Sus scrofa: one gene and its partner. The protein of the gene in region 2 interacts with the protein of the main gene of each other region in a biochemical or structural test. Links are inferred from orthologs where the notes say so. Each region holds a gene or a part of one and is shown on either strand. Other genes may lie near its edges.

Region 1 (3,653 bases), on a different chromosome or scaffold from region 2:
GATGGAGAAGAAATTAGTGCCTGCCCAGGAATTGGGGATGGAGACTCTGTCTATGGATATAGCTCAGGGGAGCCTTACGGTACACACTTCTGTACTTGGTTGAGGTGGTGTTACACAACGCTGGTGATAAAATGCATAGAACAATACATACGCAGAGACAAGTGAATGCACGTAAAACTGCTAAAATGCGAATATGGTTTTTGAAATGTATCAGTGTCCATTTTGATAATGTGTATTATAGTTTCCCTGTTGGGGAAAACTGGTTGAAGGGTACATAGGACTTCCTGCACATTGTTTTGTTGTTGTTGTTGTTGTTTTGTTTGTTTTTTAGGGCCGCATCTGCGGCACATGGAGGTTCCCAGCTAGGGGTCCAGTTGGGCTACAGTTGCCAGGCTGCACCACAGCCACAGTAACATGGGATCCGAGCCGCATCTTCGGCCTACACCACAGCTCATGGCAATGCTGGGTCCTTAACCCACTGAGCAAGGCCAGGGATCAAACCTGCAACCTCATGTTTTGTAGTTGAATTTGTGTCCACTGTGCCATGATGGGAACTCCTGTTTTTGGTTTTTATGTTTTTTTCTTTGCAGTTAGCTAGGAATCTTTTAAATTACTTCAAGCTAAAAAGTTAAGCCCCCCCCATCTATCACCCCCCACCAAAAAAAAAAAATAATAATAATAATAATAAGCCATGAGATCCGCTGAATAGCACAGGGAACTATAGCTAGTCACTTGTGATGGAACGTGATGGAGGGTAATCTGGGTCACTTTGTACAGTAAAAGTTGGCAACACGGTAAATCAACTCTAATGGAAAAATAAAAATCATAAAAGTACAGGTGGCGGGACTTTTGCAGAAAAAGAGAAATAGACATCTGTGGTTTAATTGATGATATTAAAAGTTATGATTAAGTATCTCAAATTAATTAGAAAACTCTTTATTTCAAAATCTGTGTTTCTAAGTGAACTAAGATTTTAAAATTTTCTACCAGGATAACAATATGAACTACACGTATGCTTTAAAGCTAAACAAGCAAGAGTTGAATTTCTTTCCTTCATTTTAGAAAGAAGACGTAAATGAATGTGGTGAAAGTATTGACAGAAATAATCTGAAACGGTCCCAAAGCCATCTTCCTTACTTTCCTCCGAAACCGCCCCCGGATAGTGCAGTTATCAAAGCTGGATATTGTGTAAAACAAGGAGCAGTGGTGAGTAGCTGCATAAAATATGCAAAACAATGAAAAATGAGTACATATTCGCAAACAAATTGTTGAGTGAAGGACCAGCCTGCTGACCAGTCTCTGGTCAGGAGATAGACTAGGGGTTTGTTTATTCTATGTTCAGAACTCACTGCTGTTATTTTCTTGGGCTGTGCTTATTACCGCTAACCTTTTAAATGGGTCTTTCTGACCATTTAAGTTTATTTCAGAAAGTATTTCTCTTGCTTTCTCCCCACTTGGGAGTGGCTCAGGGAAGGGGAGCTCTGGTGCGGAGATGGCAGGAAAGCCGGGGCCTGGGGAGCAGGGTGTAGGAGGATCACTGACTTATGTGGTGCTGGGCTGACCCCAGTTGAAAGGGCTGAGACCTGGGGCTGCTAACTCTCAGGCTCTTGGTTTCTTTTTAAGGAAAATCACATTATAAAACCTACCATCCAGGGGTTTTTTGAAAGATGTAAGAGAGCTCATAGAACAGCACCTGGTCCTTGCTAAGAGCTGTTGGCCCAGATGGCCTCACACGGCCAGATCCATGGTTGGGAATTGTGAGAAGAGCAGGTACATTTCCCAGGATTTTTAAGTTTCCAAAGTACCTTTCTAAAATCGGAACTAAATCTATAATTTTTTTTTTTTTCTTTTGTGGCCACTCTTGTGGCACATGGAAGTCCCCAGGCTAGGGGTCGAATCATAGCTACACCTGCCAGCCTACATCACAGCCACAGCAACTGCAGGATCCAAGCCATGTCTTCGACCTACACCACAACTCACGGCAACGCCACATCCTTAACCCACTGAGCGAGGCCAGGGATTGAACCTGCGTCCTCATGAATCCTAGTTGGGTTCATTACTGCTGAGCCATGACAGGAACTCCTAAATCCATAGACTTGGATGAGAAAATAAGCTTCAAATTTGAAAATAAAATTTAAAAAAATTTCTGTGAGTGAAGAAATACTTAAATGTCTCCTGGCAGTTCTAGTTGACTTCACGTCACTTCTGGCAACTCTTATTAGCCTAGGTCAGCCAAAGGAGAGTTCTTTCAGCCCAAATTGTCTGACCCTCTTTAGGCTAAGGGAGGTGAGCTTGAGGGCTGAAGGTTTTTCATTCTAGCATGTCTGTGGGTAAAGTCAGTATTCTCATTAGGCTGTGTGTTAATTAAGGCTTTTAAGGAGACGTTTCTTACTACTTGGTAGTATTATAAAGTACCTGTAGAAGGATTCATGCATTTTACAGACAAAGAAGCTTGATGTGGTTTAATATTTCCTGTCCTTGCTCTTGAACTAGCCCCCCCCCACATCTCCCACTTTTTTTTTTTGTCCACCCCACAGCATATGGAGTTCCTGGGCCAGGGATCAGATAGATCTGAGCTGCAGTTGCTACCTACACCACAGCTGTGGCCACACCGGATTCTTTCACCCACTGTGCCAGAACTTCATCCTGGCACCACAGAGATGCTGCTGATCCTGAGCCACAGCAGGAACTCAGCTCTTGAACCCTTGATAGCATTTACTTTGTAAGCAGGGGGATAGAGATGAGGGGGAAGTGTTTTTATTTTATTTTATTGTTAACGTTTAGAGCATCAGAAAATATAAGACCATGTTATAAAATCATAAAACAAGAACTTTCTGAAAGCCAGCCACCACCAAAGTTGAATTGGGAGTTCAAGGCCTGAGTAGCCAGAGAGACGAAGTGTCCTCTGTCTCCTCACTGAGGGAGGGTAATGACGTTTTCCAGTGCTTGACGTTTCTGATTGTGGGTTCATATTAGAATAACTGAGTGGTTATTAACATTTGACACTTTTAGAAACAGAAGTCTTATGTCTGTGTTCATCTCTAATAGATGAAAAACTGGAAGAGAAGATATTTTCAATTGGATGAAAACACAATAGGCTACTTCAAATCTGAACTGGTATGTTGCTGTGTCATAAATGTTGCTTAAAAATTAAAAAAAATTTTTTTTATTTATTATTTTATCTTTTTAGGGCCATACCCTGATAGTTCCTGGGCTAGGGGTCAAATCAGGGCTACAGCTGCCAGCCTGCACCACAGCCACAGCAACGCCAGATCTGAGCCACATCCGCAGCCTATGCCACAGCTTGTGGCAATGCCTGATCCTTAATCCACTGAGCGAGGCCAGGATTGAGCCTGCGTCCTAACTGATACTAGTCAGTTTCTTAACCCACTGAGCCACAATGGGAACTCCAAAAATGTTTTATAAATATTACACTATGGTGATTATATAATTTCTTGTCCTGTTTTCTGTTTTTTAAATGATTAAATTCCAGTTTTGAGAGGTACATACAATTCAGTTGATTTTGTTGTGATGCTTTGGTTAATGTTATTTTTGTGAAGAACATCTTAAATAAAACGCTCTTCTCTTCAGAGGCATTCTGGCCTGGAAGAATTAAAAATATGAGGACTCCTCAGTCTTCGCATTTCCTCCGA
Region 2 (3,753 bases):
CTTCAAATTGTTTCCTAAATGTTTCACAAGCTAATGTTTTCTAAGATTCCTACACTGTGAAGGGTGGGCTGGGGTGTGTGGGTGCATTTATCCTAGTTCTGTGAACAGATTGAAAGACCCAGTTTAGGGGTTATAGTAACCATCCTAGGGTGCAAAATTTTCTTTTGAAAAATTATGCTTCATATGTCGTATAGTTTTGATGAATTACATTCATATTTTACTACGTTTGTATATTTAAAATAATGATAAAATGAGAATGAAAATTTACTTTAAAAATGAACTTTAAAAAACTGCTTTAAGGGTAGATTTTCCTAAAATACTTCCTGTCCATCACAGTTTATCTGTCCCTTGATTTTATGTACTTCCTTTATAATCATTTGTAGCATCAGATGTTAGACTGCATTTAATTTTCATCTTGTTAATTTCCATAACTGGTTACACAACTTGAGGAAAATTTGGAGTACATTTTGCTTCAAAAAAAAAATCAAACTAATATAATTTTACTGGGACTGACAGTTCAAAGTAATCAACTGTTTCTTTTTTCTCTTCCTGTGGGAGGGGGAGGGTGGAAAGCCTGCATCTCGGTCAACCAGCGCTCAGAGAGGGAATCTGTTCCTCCACGTCTGAATAATCAAGGGCATATGTTGTTAATTAGTCTCATCTTTGTGATCTGCACTTCATTTAAATGCGGTTCTTTCATTTGGTGTGTTTCATTTCTGCAATTATCCTCACTTCTACACGTCCAGAGAAAATAATTTAAGTGATCAATTGCATCAAGCGTTATTACATTCTGCGGAGAAAGGGAATCGACGACTTGTCACATAGTCTTCGCTGGAGGTGGTTTACTACCACCCGCACTTTCTGAAACTTGTTTGTGGAGATGACACAAACGTGTTTGTGCAGATCCAAGAGGCACGTGTTTTGTCTACCCCTGTCCAAGGAAAAGAGAAACTTCATTTACCACAATCCTGAGGCATCCGTCTACGTTCCCCATAAAGCAAAACGCCCGCTTCCACATTCGCCCCAAGTAGCAAAACTCAGAGCAGTTTTGCGTGCCTCCCAGGCCAGGCCGCTCTGGCAGCCGCGGTTTGAGAGGCCCCCCTCGCACTTGTAACCCGAGACCCCGTGCAGAGCTCTGACAGAGTAGGCGACCCGCTCCTTCCCACTACGAGTGCACTTTCCCACGTTCAGCTCTGCCAGCGTGGGCGGCCTGGAGTGTACCCTACCCCGTGCGCCCCCTCCCTCAGCCCCCTTCCCATCCCTCCCCCCGCCCCGCCCCCGGCCTCGCGCATCCCGGGAGTCCCCGCCCTGCGCCAGGCCTGCTCCAGCCAGAGCCCAGGCGGCGGCGACGCTGGGGGCCACCCGGCACGAGGGCGCTGCTGCGGCGGCGAGATGGCTCCAAGTCTGTGGGAAACACGGACTTCTCGGGGCGAATAACGCTCCCGTCTAATTTCCTTTCCCAGGTGATCCGGGCTCGGTCTTGCTTCGCCTGCTGGGAACCGGTGGGAGCCGCGCTGCCCGCCCTCCCCCTCGCAGCGGCGCTTCGGGTCCTGGGAGAGCCCCCAACGCTCGGCGCCAGTCTCTTGGCTCGGATCCCCGGCACCAGCATGGACAGCGCTGCACCCACGACTCCCTCTGCTGTCGAAATCCGAGCAAGAGGCATCTGAGAGCCCGGACCCGCGCCGGCCCCCATCCCAGCGCCCCGGGGAAATTAGTGTTTCGCTCCACCCCCTTCACCCCGCACCCCAGTCGCTGTTACCGAATTACCTCCCAAGTCTCCAGCCACCTCCAGGCGCAGAAACCTGCAGCCACAAGCTCGGTGCCTGGAGAGGTGGGCCGCGGTACGACCCCCCAAGCGCCAACTACGTTTTCTCCCTTCGCGACGCAAAGCCTCGAGGGCCCTCGTGGACACAATTCTGATCAGTTTTCTAACAGTTTCAACCTTGTGCATTTCAGTTGCCCGCCTCACTCCACGCGCGTCTGCGCCGGTTGCCGAATGTGGGTGCCGGAGCTTTCCGTGGCCGCACGGGGACACTCACACAGCCCTTTGCGGTGCGGGGACCAGCGGCTGTGAGAGCAGGTGCGGCCGGCGGAGGTGGGGTCTGGGCGCCGCGGGAGCGCGAGGCCGGTGAGGCCTGGGGCAGCGAGGCGAAGTGGGAGAGAAGCCGCGGAAACCCGGCGGAGGACCGGTGGGCAGCGCGTCGTTCCGGCGTTAAAGGGCGGGGACTGCCGAGTATACCGTGGACTTTATCAGCCCCAGGTCCACCCTTGAGAAATCGGCCTCTTCCCGCCGCCCTCAGGAGCTCGGCCGCCGGCTCTCGCCTGCACGGCCCCGGGAAGGGCCCGCTCCCGGCGCGCTGGGCTGTCTCACCAGGCTCGCGACGCCGACACTCAGGCGACCGGGGTCCGGCCGGATCCCCTCGGCGCCTCGGCCAGTGTTTCCAGGCAATTCAGCGGCGTTTTCACAAGGTAGCAAAGCCGAGGCCCTGTTCTTTCCTGTTTTCTTTCATTCTCCTTATTTAACAGTAACCTGTCCTTTTCGCTTGGAGGGTCTCAGATGAAGCAGCGATCTCTTTGCTGTGTCTAAACTGGGAATTTCAAATGGGCTGCTCAGAATTTGAATGTGCTGCCCTAATCGGTAACCAGGATTGCGGAGTCTTCCAAAATAACCCTTTTCATCTTATGATCTTATGTAATTAGAGACCCAGAGAAGCTCTGGATTTTCCACGGTACCTAATCTATATTTATATTCTCCCCCTCTCCCTCTCTCCCTCTCTCTCTCTCTCTCTCCCTCTCTCCCTCTCCCTCTCCCTCCCCCTCCCCCTCCCCGCTCCCCCGCCTCGTGCGCGTGTGTGCGCGCGCGTGTGCGTGCGTTTCCTTTCATTTCTAGCATTAGGAAACTCGTTCATGGCCACTGAAAAGTGAGGGGCGGCTCAAATCCGATTTCCCACGGATTCCTACCTCCAACGTCAGATAATGTCCGGAAAAGGTACCACCAAATAAGCATGAGAGTATTATTTTGGAGAAACAATTAACCCCTACCCAAATATAAAGCGCCCGAGGAAGGTGAGACCGGAAGACAAGCAAGCCCCGTGCATTCGCTGGTGCGGAAAGTGCGGCGCGGGGCCGGGCCTCGGGTTCGGGCCCCGCACTTCAGCACCGGAGGGGATGGACAGCGTCTCCGGGCTGGGCTGCCGCCCCCGGGTCCGAACTGCGGCGCCGCGGTCCTCGCTGCCGCCGTCACCAAGGGTAGCCCGACTCCGGGCTCCTCGCAGCTAAGAGGCGGCCTTTCCAGATGCCCCCGCGCCCCGCTCGGCTTCGTGACCCACGGAAAGTAACCCTCTTTTACTTGCTATAGCCCCGCGCGGGGCTCTGAGAAGCTCTCCGGTTCCACAGATTAAACTCAGCTGCAACTTCAAGAATCATTTTCCGCGGGGGCCAGAGGAATACCAGGAGGAGAGTGAGGCCGAAGTTCTCAGAGGCTCCAGAAACCATGGGCTCTGCAGTCGGGGTCCGAGTGCTCAAAGGCCCCTGCTTCCCCGAATAAACAGAATGCTCCCGGGAGGATTGCACCTGTTTTGGAAATAGCTTTGTGAGAGGTTCCAGATCTACTCAGAACCTGACGTTAGAGACACGGGAGGAATTCTGAGCCCTTTACTTGACAGGTAAGTGATAATATTATTTCTGCTTGTTTGTAACTCGAATGACTTTTTTCTCTCCCAGGGTTTTAACGGAAAGATTAGAACAGTATTG

What was found.
Region 1: the proteins of SNTG1 (region 2) and PLEKHA1 form a complex in vitro, tested with the Homo sapiens proteins (2 studies listed by BioGRID and IntAct, with this or other methods). The link is inferred for Sus scrofa from reciprocal best matches to the Homo sapiens genes SNTG1 and PLEKHA1.

What each region holds. Positions count from the first base shown.
Region 1 is NC_010456.5:131,998,879-132,002,531, forward strand, and holds part of PLEKHA1 (pleckstrin homology domain-containing family A member 1), read left to right. Parts: intron 1-1,062; coding exon 1,063-1,206; intron 1,207-3,048; coding exon 3,049-3,117; intron 3,118-3,653. UniProt on the Homo sapiens protein: Binds specifically to phosphatidylinositol 3,4-diphosphate (PtdIns3,4P2), but not to other phosphoinositides. May recruit other proteins to the plasma membrane.
Region 2 is NC_010446.5:78,979,679-78,983,431, reverse strand, and holds the start of SNTG1 (gamma-1-syntrophin), read left to right. Parts: upstream 1-1,315; 5' UTR 1,316-2,469; intron 2,470-2,890; 5' UTR 2,891-3,665; intron 3,666-3,753. UniProt on the Homo sapiens protein: Adapter protein that binds to and probably organizes the subcellular localization of a variety of proteins. May link various receptors to the actin cytoskeleton and the dystrophin glycoprotein complex.